Oryza sativa Japonica Group: one gene and its partner. The protein of the gene in region 1 binds, or shares a complex with, the protein of each later gene. Links are inferred from orthologs where the notes say so. Each region holds a gene or a part of one and is shown on either strand. Other genes may lie near its edges. The genes, in order: general transcription factor IIH subunit 2 and general transcription and DNA repair factor IIH subunit TFB4.

What was found.
Region 2: general transcription factor IIH subunit 2 (region 1) and general transcription and DNA repair factor IIH subunit TFB4 share a complex: the UniProt entries of both Arabidopsis thaliana proteins name them as parts of the 7-subunit TFIIH core complex. The link is inferred for Oryza sativa Japonica Group from reciprocal best matches to the Arabidopsis thaliana genes GTF2H2 and AT1G18340.

What each region holds. Positions count from the first base shown.
Region 1 is NC_089038.1:25,934,332-25,942,305, reverse strand, and holds general transcription factor IIH subunit 2, read left to right. Parts: upstream 1-2,613; 5' UTR 2,614-2,704; coding exon 2,705-3,034; intron 3,035-4,457; coding exon 4,458-4,919; intron 4,920-4,999; coding exon 5,000-5,378; intron 5,379-5,807; coding exon 5,808-5,935; 3' UTR 5,936-6,301; downstream 6,302-7,974. UniProt on the Arabidopsis thaliana protein: Component of the general transcription and DNA repair factor IIH (TFIIH) core complex, which is involved in general and transcription-coupled nucleotide excision repair (NER) of damaged DNA and, when complexed to CAK, in RNA transcription by RNA polymerase II.
Region 2 is NC_089036.1:1,353,661-1,361,422, reverse strand, and holds general transcription and DNA repair factor IIH subunit TFB4, read left to right. Parts: upstream 1-3,053; 5' UTR 3,054-3,207; coding exon 3,208-3,232; intron 3,233-3,328; coding exon 3,329-3,417; intron 3,418-3,700; coding exon 3,701-3,971; intron 3,972-4,053; coding exon 4,054-4,100; intron 4,101-4,370; coding exon 4,371-4,408; intron 4,409-4,484; coding exon 4,485-4,530; intron 4,531-4,765; coding exon 4,766-4,819; intron 4,820-4,941; coding exon 4,942-5,010; intron 5,011-5,871; coding exon 5,872-5,948; intron 5,949-6,259; coding exon 6,260-6,355; intron 6,356-6,469; coding exon 6,470-6,527; 3' UTR 6,528-6,584; intron 6,585-6,838; exon of another isoform or gene 6,839-6,934; 3' UTR 6,935-7,263; downstream 7,264-7,762. Other genes in the region: light-harvesting complex-like protein 3 isotype 2, chloroplastic, read right to left, coding at 7,643-7,762. UniProt on the Arabidopsis thaliana protein: Component of the general transcription and DNA repair factor IIH (TFIIH) core complex, which is involved in general and transcription-coupled nucleotide excision repair (NER) of damaged DNA and, when complexed to CAK, in RNA transcription by RNA polymerase II.

The DNA of each region.
Region 1 (7,974 bases):
TGCGCTTCGTGCGAAAACTTTCTGTATGAAAGTTGCTATAAAATATCATATTAATCTATTTTTAAAGTTTGTAATAATTAAAACTCAATCAACATACGTTAATATCATCTCGTTTTTGCGTAAAAAAATTAATTTTCATCTTTATCTTTAAGAGAAAAGGAGAAAAGAACATCACCGCATAGTTCCAGGCCTATTATTGCACAGAGGTTGCTGTGCTTCTCAACGATTGCCAGAAGAGATCTTCAGAAAGACCCCAAAGTCTAGAAACTCTTCCAAACATAAGCTAAGGATGTGTTTTTATTTGAGTGTAAAGTTTTTAAAGTATATGAACGCACATTTAAAGTATTAAACGTAGACTAATAACAAAACAAATTACAAATTCCGTATGTAAACTGCGAGACGAATTTATTAAGTCTAATTAATCTGTCATTAGCAAATGTTTGTTATAGCATCACATTGTCAAATCATGGCGTAATTAGGCTTAAAAGATTCGTCTCGCAATTTACATACAAACTGTACAATTGATTTTTTTTCCACATTTAATGTCCTATGCATGTGTCCAAACATTTGATATGATGTTTTTGGCTAAAATTTTTTAGATCTAAACAAGGCCTAAATGATACTTGTGATGGAAAATGCATCAAGTTTATTCACAGATAACAGAGGAACATGCATGAAGATGAAGTGCACATTTCAAGAGGCAGGGAAAATATCAGACTACTTTCATCCTACTGAAGTCAGGGTGTGTTTAGTTCACGTCAAAATTAAAAGTTTGGTTAAAATTGAAATGATGTGACTGAAAAGTTAAAAGTTTATGTGTATAGAAAAGTTTTAATGTGATAAAAAAGTTAAAAGTTTAAAAAAAAGTTTAGAACTAAACTCGGCCTTACCTGATCTTCAGAAAGACCCCGAAGTCTAGAGATGAAAATCTTCTAAACATAAGTCAAGGATCACAATGCGATGAAGAATGCATCAAGTTTATTCACAGATAACAGATTGATGAACATGCATGAAGATGAAGTGCACATTTCAAGAGGCATGGAAAATATCAGACTGTACTTTCATCCTTCTGAAGTTAGCTGATCTGTAGGAAACTAGGAACATCTTAAGGTTTTGATTGGAATTAGGATTAGTCCTAGCTTAGCTGTCATCAGTGGCATTACAACAGAAGCACAGAACAACAACCGTGGAACTGCAGCATTGGAACCTAGTACTGCAAAGTCTGTCGAAGATATTATCAGCGACACCTGTATAACAAAAGCGTGGCACATGAGACATGGATACATTCGCGCATTAGATGCGATGTCGACCAGTCAACCATGTCGATGATATAAACTATAGAGATGAATTTATAGTATAAATACTTACAGATCGCATGAACTTCGTTATTAAAAAAATCGAGGTGGTCAGGTGCCACATTGCCAATGCTGCAATTCCAACTGTCAACATAAAACTATATTTATTTTTATGAAGTGTCTGAAAGTTCAAACATGCACATGTGCAGATGTCTAGTGATTTTATTATTATGCAAAGTACTACAACCTGTATTTCAGTTTATCAAAATTATTCATCAAATTTGCCAACTGAGCTCCCCTTGCGGTAGAACATATCCATCGAAGTTCAAGTTGTAGTCTTAGTATAGGTGCTTTTGCATTTTTTTTCTAGGATTTAATCTGATGAGGTAGTATGCTGGTGCTTGCACTTTCTCGGAGACTTAATCTCCGGAGGCACTGAATGCACATAATATTTGGTGGATAAGTTTATACCCATGTTAAACGAGGCTACTGTTCGAATTTGAGTGTATGTTAGGACTTAGATGCATAAAGTTAGTGTGTGCATATGTCAACTTAACTCGACAAAGGAAATAAGCCTTACATTTGACATAAACCCCTCGTTGGATTACTTTGAGATTCGTTCAAATCCCCCCACGTTAACCCTCTTCCTTTTCTTCTTCCCTCCTCACCGATGCACGACATGCTCGACCTTGACGCCTCTTGTGCTATCACTTGGATGGAAGTGTCATTAATATTGACGGAGCCCTCCCCCCTCTATTCCTTCTCAAGCCAGCAGATGCCCATGATCCGACATTTTCCCCATCTTCGGCTGCTCATAACCACCACCACCGACTACCGCTTCTTAACACAAGCTTGCTTTGCCCCTACCGCGCTCCTTTATCCCAATGGGCGCTGACATCGCCGTTGACGCCTCACTAGCATCCATTGTCCACCACCCCCCTTGGTCCACCACTTCCCATGATCATGCCTCTAAGACCGACGATCTCCTCCCTCTTCCCCAATCCCTACCCTAAATCTAATATGGACCCTAATCCGTCGATTCTAGTTCAGGGTGGCGCCAATGTCGACAAAGAAAAGGAGGTTGCTAAAGCAAGAGGAGAAGAATATAGAGCACAAATCACAAAGCACATCTTTTTTTATCTTAATCACGAAGCACATCTTTTGACCCTAAATCTGCAAGATTTGACGATAACCCCCAAAAAATATTCATAAAATTTTAGATGGGTTTTCAGTTTTTTTTTCAAGTGCAAGCAAGTAAGGCCTCAACCGTCAAGCATGGGAAAGCTAGAAAAGTTAAGGAAAACCCACTCAAAAGCCCAGGAACCCCAAAACCTGGCCCATCTCCCCGGTCCCCGACCTCGCCTCTCCTTCCTCCTCTGCTCCCACTCCGCCTCGCCGCCGCCTCCACCATGTACGGCGTCGGCGGCGGCGGCGGCGGCTTCAACGCGCCCTACACGGCATCGGCCCGGCGGCGCAACCACGAGGACGACGACGACGAGGAGGAGGAGGAGTCCGGCGAGGGGCGCGTCCTCGAGGCCTGGGAGCGCGCGTACGCGGACGACCGGTCATGGGAGGCGCTGCAGGAGGACGAGTCGGGCCTCCTCCGCCCGATCGACACCAAGACCCTCGTCCACGCGCAGTACCGCCGCCGCCTTCTCCTCCGCTCTGCCGCCTCCGCCGCCGCCCGCATCCAGAAGGGCCTCATCCGCTACCTCTACATCGTCATCGATCTCTCCCGGGTTCGTTCCCCCGTGCCTTCTCCTAAGCTTGTCCTCGGGTCAGTCACTCCGTCGAGCACTTGGTGAGTGCGGAGTTTTCCGTGAGCTCGGGTTAGGATCACTGGGGATGGCGGGCAATGCTGATCGTGCTAACCTCTCAGTGTTTGTTAAATGCAACACCTCGTGCCGAGGCTGATCTGGTGGTATTGCCCATGGCCTCAATTTGGTTCGTGTGAAATGTGGACTGGAGGCAGTATTGTTGAATCGGTGATCACTATGTAGTGCTTTTAGCTTGATTTCATATGCTAGCTATTTCAGTGACTAGCTGCGCAATCCTCTCCACTTCCACATCAAGGTTTGATGTTTGAGTTGATGATCTCATCACTCATGTATGATTTGCTAGCTTGTCTTCTTGCTTAGGTGTTCTGCTTTTAGTCCCTGAGAGTGGGTGTTATAATCGGTGCATATCAGGGCAATACTGGAATCTAGCCATTTTTGTTTGCCATTGACCAGGGCCATAACCAGAGATTGAATGGGGGGTTTTCGCCAACCATTGAACGCAATGAAGTTCACAAACTAAAATGAAATTGTATATGGTTTGTATTAAAAATGGTTCTTCTACAATTATAATAGTTTGTTTTGTAAAGGAAAAAAATTCTTGTGCCAAAGGGTCTCCTGAGATCTGTGGTAAATAAAATTCTTTCTATAAATTACTGCACTATGACTCTTATGAGCAAGCTAAAAAGGAAAAGACATATTTCATACCCCATCCCTGTTAGGCTCATGCTAATAGCAATTTTCTCTTGGTTCTGTCCTATCTGAAAACTTCATAGGAATCGGAGGAGCGTGAGGTTTTTCATTATCAAGATTCTGAAGCGGTAAAGCGTTTTGGTTGATCGTCATTTGTTTTATGTCAAAGGAAAGGGGCACCGTACTGCATTACTGCTCCATACCATTTGACATTGTTGGAAAGTGTTTTCTGTTGATTTGAGAACACTACGTATATTTTGTGTATGCATTCATGTGGAAAAAGCCCTTTCTTCCTTTGGGTGATAGGTAGTAAATAAGATCCTCTTTGGCACAGCTCCAGATCTTAGATCCATGGTAGATTTGAAGTTTATAAATTAAATTATAATGGTTTAAAATTCTAAATTTCATTTGAAATGTGCACGAAATAATTTATTTAAATGTTATTAACGTAATCGTAGATCTAGATCCATGGATTTATGGAGCTAGAAATACCTAGCTCCAAGAAATCTTGGAGAGGGCCTATACCATTTATTTTAGCATATGTACATTTTCTTCTCACAAAGTAGGCTGCTCATGATTGTTCTGGTGATGAAGATATTTTTACTGCAAATTGATATGCTGCCCACGACTTCTTTTACTTCTTTGCATTCGGTTGTAATCTCCATTTATCCTGGTTGTATCTTTGATCATGTAGGCAGCTTCAGAGATGGATTATCGACCTAGTCGAATGGCTGTTGTTGCAAAATATGCTGAGGTATTCATAAGGGAATTTTTTGACCAGAATCCCTTGAGTCATGTGGGGATAGTGACAATGAAAGATGGGATTTCCCATCGACTTACAGAGATTGGAGGTAGTCCTGAATCACAGATTAAAGCATTGATGGGGAAGCTTGAGTGTTCTGGTGAACCATCTCTGCAGAATGCTCTAGAGCTTGTCCATGGTTATTTAGACCAGGTTCCTTCATATGGTCACAAGGAAGTATTATTTTTGTACTCGGCCCTGAATACCTGTGATCCTGGAGATATCATGGAGACAATAGCAAAATGCAAGAAATCCAAAATACGATGTTCGGTTATTGGGCTTGCTGCAGAGATTTTTATCTGCAAATATCTGTGTGAAGAGACTGGCGGATCCTACACAGTTGCACTGGATGAGGTCTTAAAATATGCTTTGTGTGTTTACCTTTCCTTATTCAGTTATTGTGAAGATAAATAATGCCTGTTTTATTTTGGCAGTCCCATTTCAAGGAATTGCTTCTGGAACATGCTCCTCCACCACCTGCAATTGCTGAGTATGCTGCAGCTAATTTGATTAAGATGGGTTTTCCGCAGAGAGGAGCAGAGGATCTTATCTCCATCTGCTCTTGTCACAAGAAAATAAAGTCGGGGGCTGAAGGTTACATATGTCCTAGATGCAAAGTCAATGTATGTGAGCTTCCAACAGAATGTCGAACTTGCGGGCTGACACTAGTTAGCTCTCCACATCTGGCAAGGTCCTATCATCATCTCTTCCCTGTACAACCATTTGATGAGGTGTCCTCCGTGCACCCAAATAGACTAGGTCAAAAGGGAGGACAAAAGTGTTACGGCTGCCAGCAAAGCTTTATTAACCCTGGTATGCAGTTCTTTAACACGTCTAACAGTACATGCTACCTTTTCAATGCATTTTCATACAAGGAAAGATATCCTTATTGTGCTACATATGTTGCAGTTGGTAGAAAAAAGAAGAGAAAATACATAATACAAAGCTTACATTTGTTTGTTATTACATGGCATCATGTTCTTCAATTACCAATCCTCATACTTCTCTTACATTTAATGTTTTTCACTGGTTTTTGTGCTAGATTATACTCCCTCTGTCCCATAAAAAACCAACATAGTACTAGATGTGGCATATCCTAGTACTATGAATCTGGACATACCTCTGTTTATATTCGTTGTACTAGAATGTGTTATATACAGTCCTAGGTTCGTTATTTTTTGAGACGGAGGGAGTACTTTGCAATTATCAGGTTTATTAATTATTTATCCAATATCCTTGCAGATAGTCAATCTAGCCTCCATGTTCGCTGTCCAAAATGCAACCAACACTTCTGCCTTGATTGCGATATTTACATCCATGAGAGCTTGCACAATTGCCCAGGTTGCGAGAGTCAGCGTAGTTCTTCATAGGGATGCCATTGTGGTGTTAATCTTTGTCTTTTTAACTCAAGAAGCTACCCGTTGCTGTAAGCTTTCTCGTACACTGACATTGGTAGGCGATGTTGTGAGGTAATCAAACAGTGTACAGATGATATAGTGCCCGGCCTCCATTTTGTTGACGCTTCCTGTTCATTTAGATGGAGTAGCTAGTTAAGCTATTTTGATACAGAGTACTGGTCAAAGAGTTGTTGAAGCCATAGCATTGTTGCTGAGGGGAGGTGTTAGAAATGTACAATGCGACTGAAAAGTGAAAACTTGTAACTCTTGCCGTTTTTCTGAGGCAAAGATGTATTCTTTCAGTGTCATAGTCATGCCCTGACATGCCATTTACGAGCAGAGGCTGTTCCTTTCTTTTTTTTTCCCCCTTCCTCTCCTGATATGCCAATATGCTGGATATCGACGGCTCGACGCACGCACGCACCCGGCGTTTTCCGTTGCTGGTTGCTGACTGTAGAATCGTCAAGGTAAGCAGTTGCCTCGTGCAATTAACTGCACAATTTCAAAGCAGGCGGAGACGCAGAACGAAACGGCAAAACGCTGGAGAGAGCACGATGTTGCTGACCCAAGAGGCTGATGGCTTACGTTTTTTTGCTGCCTCGCAATTCGCTTCTGATGGGCGGAGTCAACACAGATGCTAACTCTGGGCTTTTTCGTTGTTCCCTTTCAGCTTTCCGGTGACGAGCAGTGGCGATCATCATGCATAATTACATATACGCAGCATATCCCTGGTTCCCTACACTCTGATGAAAGTGTGCTTCCTGTGGCTATCATGTCGACTTTGCTAAAGCGAATGGATGACAGGCAGCGGTGCCAGTGCTCCTTTTCACCAGTTGCACGGCCAAGTTGTGGGCACGACGAACTGCAGGCTGCTGCACCGTCCTGTGCGTTTTCAACTGTAGATCACTCGAGTCCACTTGAAAGAAACACAGGTGAGACAGCACGACGGCAACCGATCGACCACGGCCTTTTCCGAGCACTGCACAGTGTGCACACTCTATGGCGCTAAGCCCTTTTCGTGCCCTATGCTGCCTATACACAGTCACTTGCAACTTCCTTTCCTTCAACAGTACGGACGCCTCGCTCATATAAACACATATACGCACATCATATTTTTATAAGAGTAAATTTTACAAAACTACATGTTTTATGGTTCAAGTTGCAGAAAACCACACATATTTTGACACTTGGCATTTAAGTACATATATTTTGGTAGTTTAGTTTCACAAAACCACACTATCGATGAATGGATTCACACATGAGATGACGTGGTTGTTTTATCTAGATGATGACGTGGCATCCTATTAATTTCATGGGATGGCTAGTAATAAGATGCCATGTTCTCGTCCTAGTTGAAACAGTCACATCATCTCGCGGGTGAATTCATTCATTGATAGTGCGGTTTTGTGATATCACACTACCAAAATATATATACTTAAGTGCCAAGTGTCAAAATGTTTATGGTTTTCTACAACTTAAACTACAAGACGTGTAGTTTTATAAAATTTACTCTTTTTATAAACATCTCTAAAGATTACATCGGTATATATTTAATTTAAGATTAACAAAAGTTATCATAGACATATCTCTCTATCATATTTCAAAGTTACCATAGACATATATGGATGTCATGTGTCGATATATATAGTATTATCTACCACTAAAAGAATTAACTAGCTATAAATATTAATAACCGTGTTAAGTTTATAATTTAAATCCGGATCGACAAACTCAAACCACAAGGTCGAACTGAGTTCGCCGCTTGCAACTTTCTGACGATGTGGTCCGGCACCGGCTGGGCATCGCATCGAGCTCGTGCAATGATACTGACCCCATGATGGGATTTGCTTGCTTTGGCTTGGAGAGACAACGACATGATTGCCATCATGCTAGTTGCTCCTGAGCTGCAGCCTCTGTACTATGGACACCAAACATTTTTATTACTCGTATCTCTGAACCAAGCAAACATTCAGAACCCAGAAAAAGGCAGTGGTGAATTTCCTTGCATCAAA
Region 2 (7,762 bases), on another chromosome or scaffold:
CAAGACACATTCCTGCACGGCTTGCTTGCGATAGATACCACGCCTGCTCCTATCAACACACATTATTTCATACCGATGCACTTGTGTGCCTTGAGCAACAACTCGATGTCTCCGTGCCTTTTTGATTTTATCTTCCATGTACTTTGTCACTACGTTGCCAAACACTATGTTGTTATCGGCCATGGACGGACCAATTTTCTTGTATCGATCCCTAAAGTACGCTTGCGTGCCGTGAAGGATGAATTCAACAATAGCAACCAATGGAAGTACCCGAACTCCTCGCATTACCCAGTTGTACACCTCTGCCAAATTGGTTGTCATTATGCCATACCGAGATCCATCGGTGTCGAACAATAGAGACCACTTCTCCTTAGGCTCATTCTCAATCCACTGAGTGAAATTTCTGATGGACGACCTTGACCTCCTTCTCATTGTTGGTGGGTCATCATGTAATGCACCAAGAGGTATGGGAGGCTCGTCACCTTCAACTAGTGGTCTGCGAGATTGCTCATCTGTTTGCTTCGTTGTCAACTCATCCAACTTGTCCCACAACTCATTAAATTTCTTCTCTTGGTTCTGTGCACAGAGCCTCTTAAAGAGCTCCATAAGATGCTTGTTCTTGAATTGCTTGTAGAAATTTGCACCCATGTGACGCATGCACCACCGACTCTGAACATCAGGCCACTTAGCTGGAAGTCCCTTCTCATCCCAACCGTTCTGCAAGTAGTCAATAGCCCGCAACATACCCTCATGACGATCATGTATAAGGCAAACGTTGGGCCTCATACGCACCACTGCAATGTGCACTCTCTCTAGGAACCAGTACCAGCTTTCAGTGTTCTCACTCTCTACAAATGCAAAAGCCATAGGTAGAACCTGGTTGTTCCCATCACACCCAATTGCTGTCAATATCTGACCTCGGTATTTACCTGTCATAAAAGTTCCATCTATGCATAGAACAGGTCGACAATGCACAAAAGCATTGATGCAAGCACCCAATGAGAAAAAGGCTCTTTGCAGCATACTCTTTGTTCGATCATCAACCGATGTAAATGTATGTAGGTCATAGTACGTATTATTATTCCTCTGGGCAATGGTGGCTAACAAACGAGGCAAATTATCATAAGAAGCTTCAAATGTGCCATACCTCATCTCAATGATCTTTTGTTTGGCTCTCCAGGCCTTTGCATAGCTTATGGTGTACTTGAATTTGTTCTCGATGTGCCTAATAATTGATTTTGGTTCAAAGCCAATGTTACCAACAACACTGCTGTACATCTCACTTGCCACAAAAGCTGAAGTGATGTTTCGGTGATACTTCTCCACCCCTTGTAAGTAGCACTTGTGCTCGGTCACAATGCTAACTTTCCAATAATCATTCCATTTACCCTTATATGCATGGACACGCCACGGACAATCTTCCTTCATGCACCTCACTTCATACACATAATTTGTTGACTTGACCACCCTAAACTCTCTCTGCAAGGAAACTGCCCAATGCTTCACCGCCTCCTTCATCTCATCCTTATGAGCATACCTTGCACCGTCAATTACCTCGTTCTCCTTATACTCCCAGGGTACATGATCACCCTCTGATATAACAAGTCCAGAGAAGTCCTCATTTGCCCAATCAGTGGCCATTACATCACCTTCCTCATCGGATGATGCGTCGTCGTCCGCTTCCTCATTATCCGAATCTTCCCTCTCCATTTCATCAACAATTATACCGACTCTCTCCCCCTCATCCGCCATGCCCATAGCCTGCTCCTCCCTTGGTTGATTTTCCTCATTTTGCATCGATGGTCCAACAACATCCCCTGCATTGATAGGACCCTCTACATCTTCGGTTTGCATTGAAACATTTATATCTTTCTCTTGTACCGACACAAATATAACGAGGGGCCATGACCGTTCAAAAGCCATTTCCACATACCGTCTCCAAGCATCAGTGCTGTCCATCGGCATTAGTTCCCAAAAATAACCTTCTGTTGCACGACTCACTACAACTGACACTGACATTGTGTAGACTTCTTGGTCTATTCTAAATCCTCTCAACAACCAACTATAAATTGACTGAAATGTTCTCTCCGCAGGCCTATCGATGCCCTTAGATGTCATTACAAAATCTGACAGATCAACACCATCTGGACCAAATCTAATATTTCCTTTACCATGAACTATCTGAAATGTGACCTTACTTGACATTGTGCCTGATGAAAACAATAACTGCGTTAACCTCGCATTTCTGTACTACGCCCTAAGTTACATTCTCTACAATATTGTTCTCTAAATTTCTAAAATTACGTTACATTCTCCAGATCAAACTAAACTACATCTTACAATTAACACTACTGTCTATGTCTCAATTCATACTATTATATTCTATGCTCTGGATCTACACATATGTGCTATGTGCTACAGATGTGCTAAAATATATGGAACTAAAACTAAAACGCAACATATATACTCAAACATAACATATTAGTACAAATGCAAAAGATGTATGGGAGCATACCTGTGATGAATTGAGCGAACCAGCAGGGCTTCGCCGCTCCCCTTCTGCTGCCCTCCCCTCTCTCTCTTTCGTTTTTTTTGGATTTTTAGTGAATATAATGAAATTTCACAGAGGAGGGACTGGGCTTTATAGGGGGAGGCAAAAATCGCCCTCCCCCAGGGCGGCAAGGGGGCCGCCTGCAAAATTCCATGCCCCCTCGCCGCCCATTTGCAGGCGCCCCCCCCCCACAGTACAAAATCGCCCTAGCGGAGGGCGGCAAGGGGGCCGCCTGCAAAATTCCATGCCCCCCCTCGCCGCCCATTTGCAGGCGGCCCCCCGCACAGTATAAAATCGCCCTAGCGGAGGGCGGCAAGGGGGCCGCCTGCAAATTTCGTTGACGGCCGTCGCCCGAGAGCGAACGGCCGTCTGCCACGTCATTTTCGCCGCCCTCTGAGAGGGCGGTAGGCGACTACTTCCGTCAATTTTCAAAATGGAAAATTATTTTTGTAAAACTTTTAATAAAAAAATTATAAATAAAAAAAATTCGTCGTCTCTTGCCGCCCCCAAGCGCAGCCGCAACTCCGCCGAGTTCGCCGCCTCCGCCTCCGCCTCCCGACGGCGGCAAGGCAACCGCTCGCGCCGCCGCCGCCTCGGCCCAACCAGCGCCTCCGTTCGCGCGTGTCCGGCCCTGCCGCGACGGCGGTGAGACTGCCATGGCCTCCTCCAAGCTCTACTCCGGTAAGCGGCGCCCGACCGTCTCCGTTTTCTGATCCCTTTGCGTCTCGCTAATCTTCCCCCCTTTTCTCTTGCCTCGTCTCCACCGCGCCTGCGCAGATGACGTCAGCCTCGCCGTCGTCGTCGTCGACACCAACCCCTTGTTCTGGGCCACCGCCGCCCTCCCCTTCGCCGACTTCTTCGCCCATGTACGCCGCGACCTCCCAAACCCTATTTCCCTTCTCGTCCCCCGCTTCCCCTCTCGATTTCTAGTTTTTGATTCACATCTATATCATGGGGATTAACCACGGAAACACGATCAGTATCTAGTTGCATTCACGCTGATCTAGCTAGTTTGATTTTATTCTGACTCCTCCAGAGAGGATCAATCTCTAGTTGCTCGCTGATCTAGTTAGTTTGATTTTGACTCTGAATTCTCCAGAGAGGAGAGGATTTACACTTAATACTGATGCAATTCCGGGGTGTATGTAGCTGATCCACTACGTGAACTCGCTCTTGCTTCTGAACCACCTCAACCATGTGGTCGTCATCGCCGCGGGGCTTAGCTCTTGCACCTACATCTTCGACTCGAGCGATGCTAGTGCCTCTGGTGCTGCAGACGTCGCGGCCACCTTCGCAAAGGCGAGCCGCAAGATGGATGAGTTCATTGCAGAAGACGCCCGTGCCACTAGCAGCAATGGTTCCGTTGCTGATGGCAATGCAGCCTCTCTTCTCTCAGGCGCACTGTCCCTTGCTCTGTGCTGTATCCTATGACTGGTACTGATTTCTTATTGTTAGTGCATTTTCCATTTGTGCTTGTATTTCTTAACATGGAGGATGCTTAGATATACAGAGGGTTTTTCGGTCTGGTACTCGACATCCACAACCTCGGGTGAGTATACACTCTGTGTGTGTTCTAAGTTACCTTTTGTTCTGATTCCTGTTGATATGTTGACCTATGAGAACAACATAGAAGGGAGCATATCAGTTAGCATAAATGTTTACAATGCGCATGCTGTATGGACTAAAAAAACCTGATAGGCATCTGACCCATCACTAATGATATAATTATTTAATTTTCTTTGTTTTCTTGAATTTTTCTACTCAATATCCTCACAACTTATTCTAGTGGCATCATGTATTATGCTAACACGAAATACAGATTTTATGCCTGCAGGGTTCTCCAGATGGACCTGAACAGTACGCACATTCATCGATTTGATTGTGTAGTATATATTTTCTGGAACATGTTTTAACTCAATGAGATGCTGCGCAGATATGTAGCGGTCATGAACTCAATATTTTCTGCTCAACGTTCCATGGTATTGCATGAACTGTCACTATTCCGTACATTTGGGTTCATTGTTCAATTCATTTTATTGATACTCTTGATGTCACCTCACCATTTCACAACTGTAGTGGTTTTAGTGAGTCCCAACTGCAAGTAGCACTACCTCTAGACATGTCTATATGACTATATACATCACCAGTTTCATTGCTTAAAACATTCACTAACAACTTTGGTCCTTATTTTTTTTTTCTATCAAAAAAATTTAGGTCCCAATCGATTCATGCATAGTAGGAACCCAAGACTCTGCTTTCTTGCAACAGGTAATGTTCTTCAGTGCCTTCTTGGTCTTTCTTTCCATTTATAACTTCTTTTACATGTATGCCCCCATAGAGCTGTCTATTCCTTGCTGAATGCTGATCATATACTGGCCTTTCATTTGCAGGCTTCATATATAACAGGTGGAGTTTATTTGAAACCCCAAGAACTAAATGGTCTATTTCAATACCTTGCTGTAAGTCATTCTGGCACTTCTGTAGCAACACACATATTTTCTCATGCAACCATGGTTACATCTTTATAACTGCATGATGCATTTATATAAAGCCTGTGGCCATCTTTTCTGTGTAATAATGAAAAATTAAGAAGGCAACTAACCTCCAGCACATGAATCTGATGTAACTCTTTAAAAGAAAAATGCCAGATCAGCCCATTTTCATTTTGTGAAAAAAAATAATATCAACTTTCATCTAAGGTTGTCTAGGCTCTTCTGTTTTCCTGCCTTTGCTTGAATGTAGAATGTACTAGTAATGTTTGGGAACTCATGCATCTCTAGTGAGTGTGGCTTGTTTAAAGTGTGCACTCAAGCATAATATTTCCTGTATGTCTCAAACTGTCAATCTGGGAAGATCAACACAACTACATCTCTAAACTTTAGTGCCAAATGATTTTGGATGCTACTAGTAGACTACAAAGTTGAATGCCCTCTCAGTGTCTATGTTCATGAGTTCATCTCCTATGTCAAAACTCAATATTTTCTGTCACTAGAGTGGGGCACATAGATACTCCATCTTCCTGGTACTGGTAGTATATCTACCTGTTAATCTAGAATCAGATTCACATATATATGTACAATACACTAATGAACAACAATGGAATCATCAGATTATGGCGTGATAGACTGTGCTGTTTACTTCTGACCCAAATCTATTGCTTCAATATCAGCTTACGTTGACCTGTTTTTGGAATATATATATTAGTTCCAAAGTTGCTCTGTTTTGTGTTTGTCTTTATTCTATCTGAGTAGGAATATTTCTATTTCAGATAACTTGATTAATTTGCTTGAGCTCAATGACTCATTTCTGCAAATATGCAGGCTGTATTTGCAACTGATTTACACTCAAGAACCTTTCTGCGCCTCCCCAAGACTCTGGGAGTGGATTTCCGTGCTTCGTATGTGTCACTCAGTTTCCTCTATTAAGTTCTCTAGGCATTAGGCATATCTCTGTTTCTTCATCTTCTTGAATGCCTTGTGACATAGCTATGAGATGCTTGTTATAGATCTGAAAACATAGCATAATACCAATGACAATTTCAGAAAAATGTGAGAAACATACAGCTAATTTTTTTTGTGAAGTTCTATCTTACCAAAGGCCTTAGGTCAGGATTAGCAGCTCAGTTTATTTTTGTTTTTAAGTTTCCATTCAGTTTGTCTGATACTGGTGGCCTTTCAACTGCATCTAATTTGCTATATTTCTTTTCAGATGTTTCTGCCATAAGAAGACTATTGACATGGGATATGTTTGTTCAGTTTGTTTATCGATATTCTGCAAGTATCATAAGAAGTGTTCGACCTGTGGGTATGTTATAGTTGCTTTGTGTTTCTATTCTTTTGTCTTTTTCCTGAGAGCTTTAATTTGTTTCAGTAAGAATCAGATTGTTTGCTTGTTTAATTTGATGTGCTCCGTTCACAGGTCAGAATTCAACCGTGTCATGCCCGACTTAAATTCTGTACCTGATCAAAGGCAGTAGTCTACACTACAGATGGCGAAATATCAGACTGCAGACTTCTCTTTATGTTCTCCACAGGTTCGTCTGATGTGTCTCTTAAGAAACTTCGGTGCCACTATCTTCTATAGTTAAAAGATCTCATTTGTAAAATATAGACTACTTCATCTGCATTAGCTGACCCCCAGACATGCATTATGCGTTAATGATGATGACATGCACATACAGTGCACGCCATATCTAGTCTAGTTTCAAATTTTACCTACCTTGTGTTCTTATGTGCGTAGGTTCATGCCCGTGCTTTGTTCCATTCTGAAATGTGGTTCATTTTCCAGGAACATCTATCCTAGCATTTTAGCCTCAATGACATGCACATTTATTTCTTAGATACGATACATGATGCTGGATCAGCCTGTCCCTGATTTTGACAGGTTCAACTGATACAGAATGGGCATTGTGTGCATACTTGAAGCAGCGTCAGTTTAGCAAAAACTAGGCAACTGGGCGTAGCAATTTTGTCAACTGATGAGGGAACTCACGCCCGACTTTTGGAATTAGTTTGCCTGCAATTTGTAAAGTTGGCACATGAACTTGTGATGCACCATTTGCAAATGCTCTTTTTTGCTTACCGAAAACAGGACAACAGGTCAAGCTAGTAGATGGCAAATCATTTTTCTTGTCATGGTGACACAGGTTGCGCTAATGTCTTGATATATTACTTCGAGCTCCAAGAACAATTTTGATTTTTAGTTTCCTATAACGGCTGTGTGCACTGCCGATGGAACTGTGCAGATTTGTTCTGGCGCGATGCGATGTTAAAAATGTTGCTACGTTTTTTTTTCAAACGTAGTCAAACCAAAAGAATTTTGATTTAGAAAAGAGTCAAAGCATTTTATAATATGAAGCGGAGGGAGTAACTAGTACAAGCAATTCTCACAAAGAAAACATTCAACCAAGTAACCCGCAGCAACGTTAACCTCTAGCACAGAAACGAGTTCGTACTTTTTACAAGACGTCATAGGTATTAAGATCATCAAAATGTACTGAGCCTCACTAATAAATGGGTTGAGAAAAGGGCTGCAAAAAGAAGTGATACAATACAACATAGGGAGGATTCAGATTCAGATTCCACTTCAGAGCTATTTCTTGGGCTGAGAAGGGGACTCATCTTGCCAGGTTGCCTGCCATTGCTTGTCGTAGAACGTCGTCTCATCGATGAGCTTCTTCACTGTCTCTATGTCCTCGTTTTTCCTGACCAG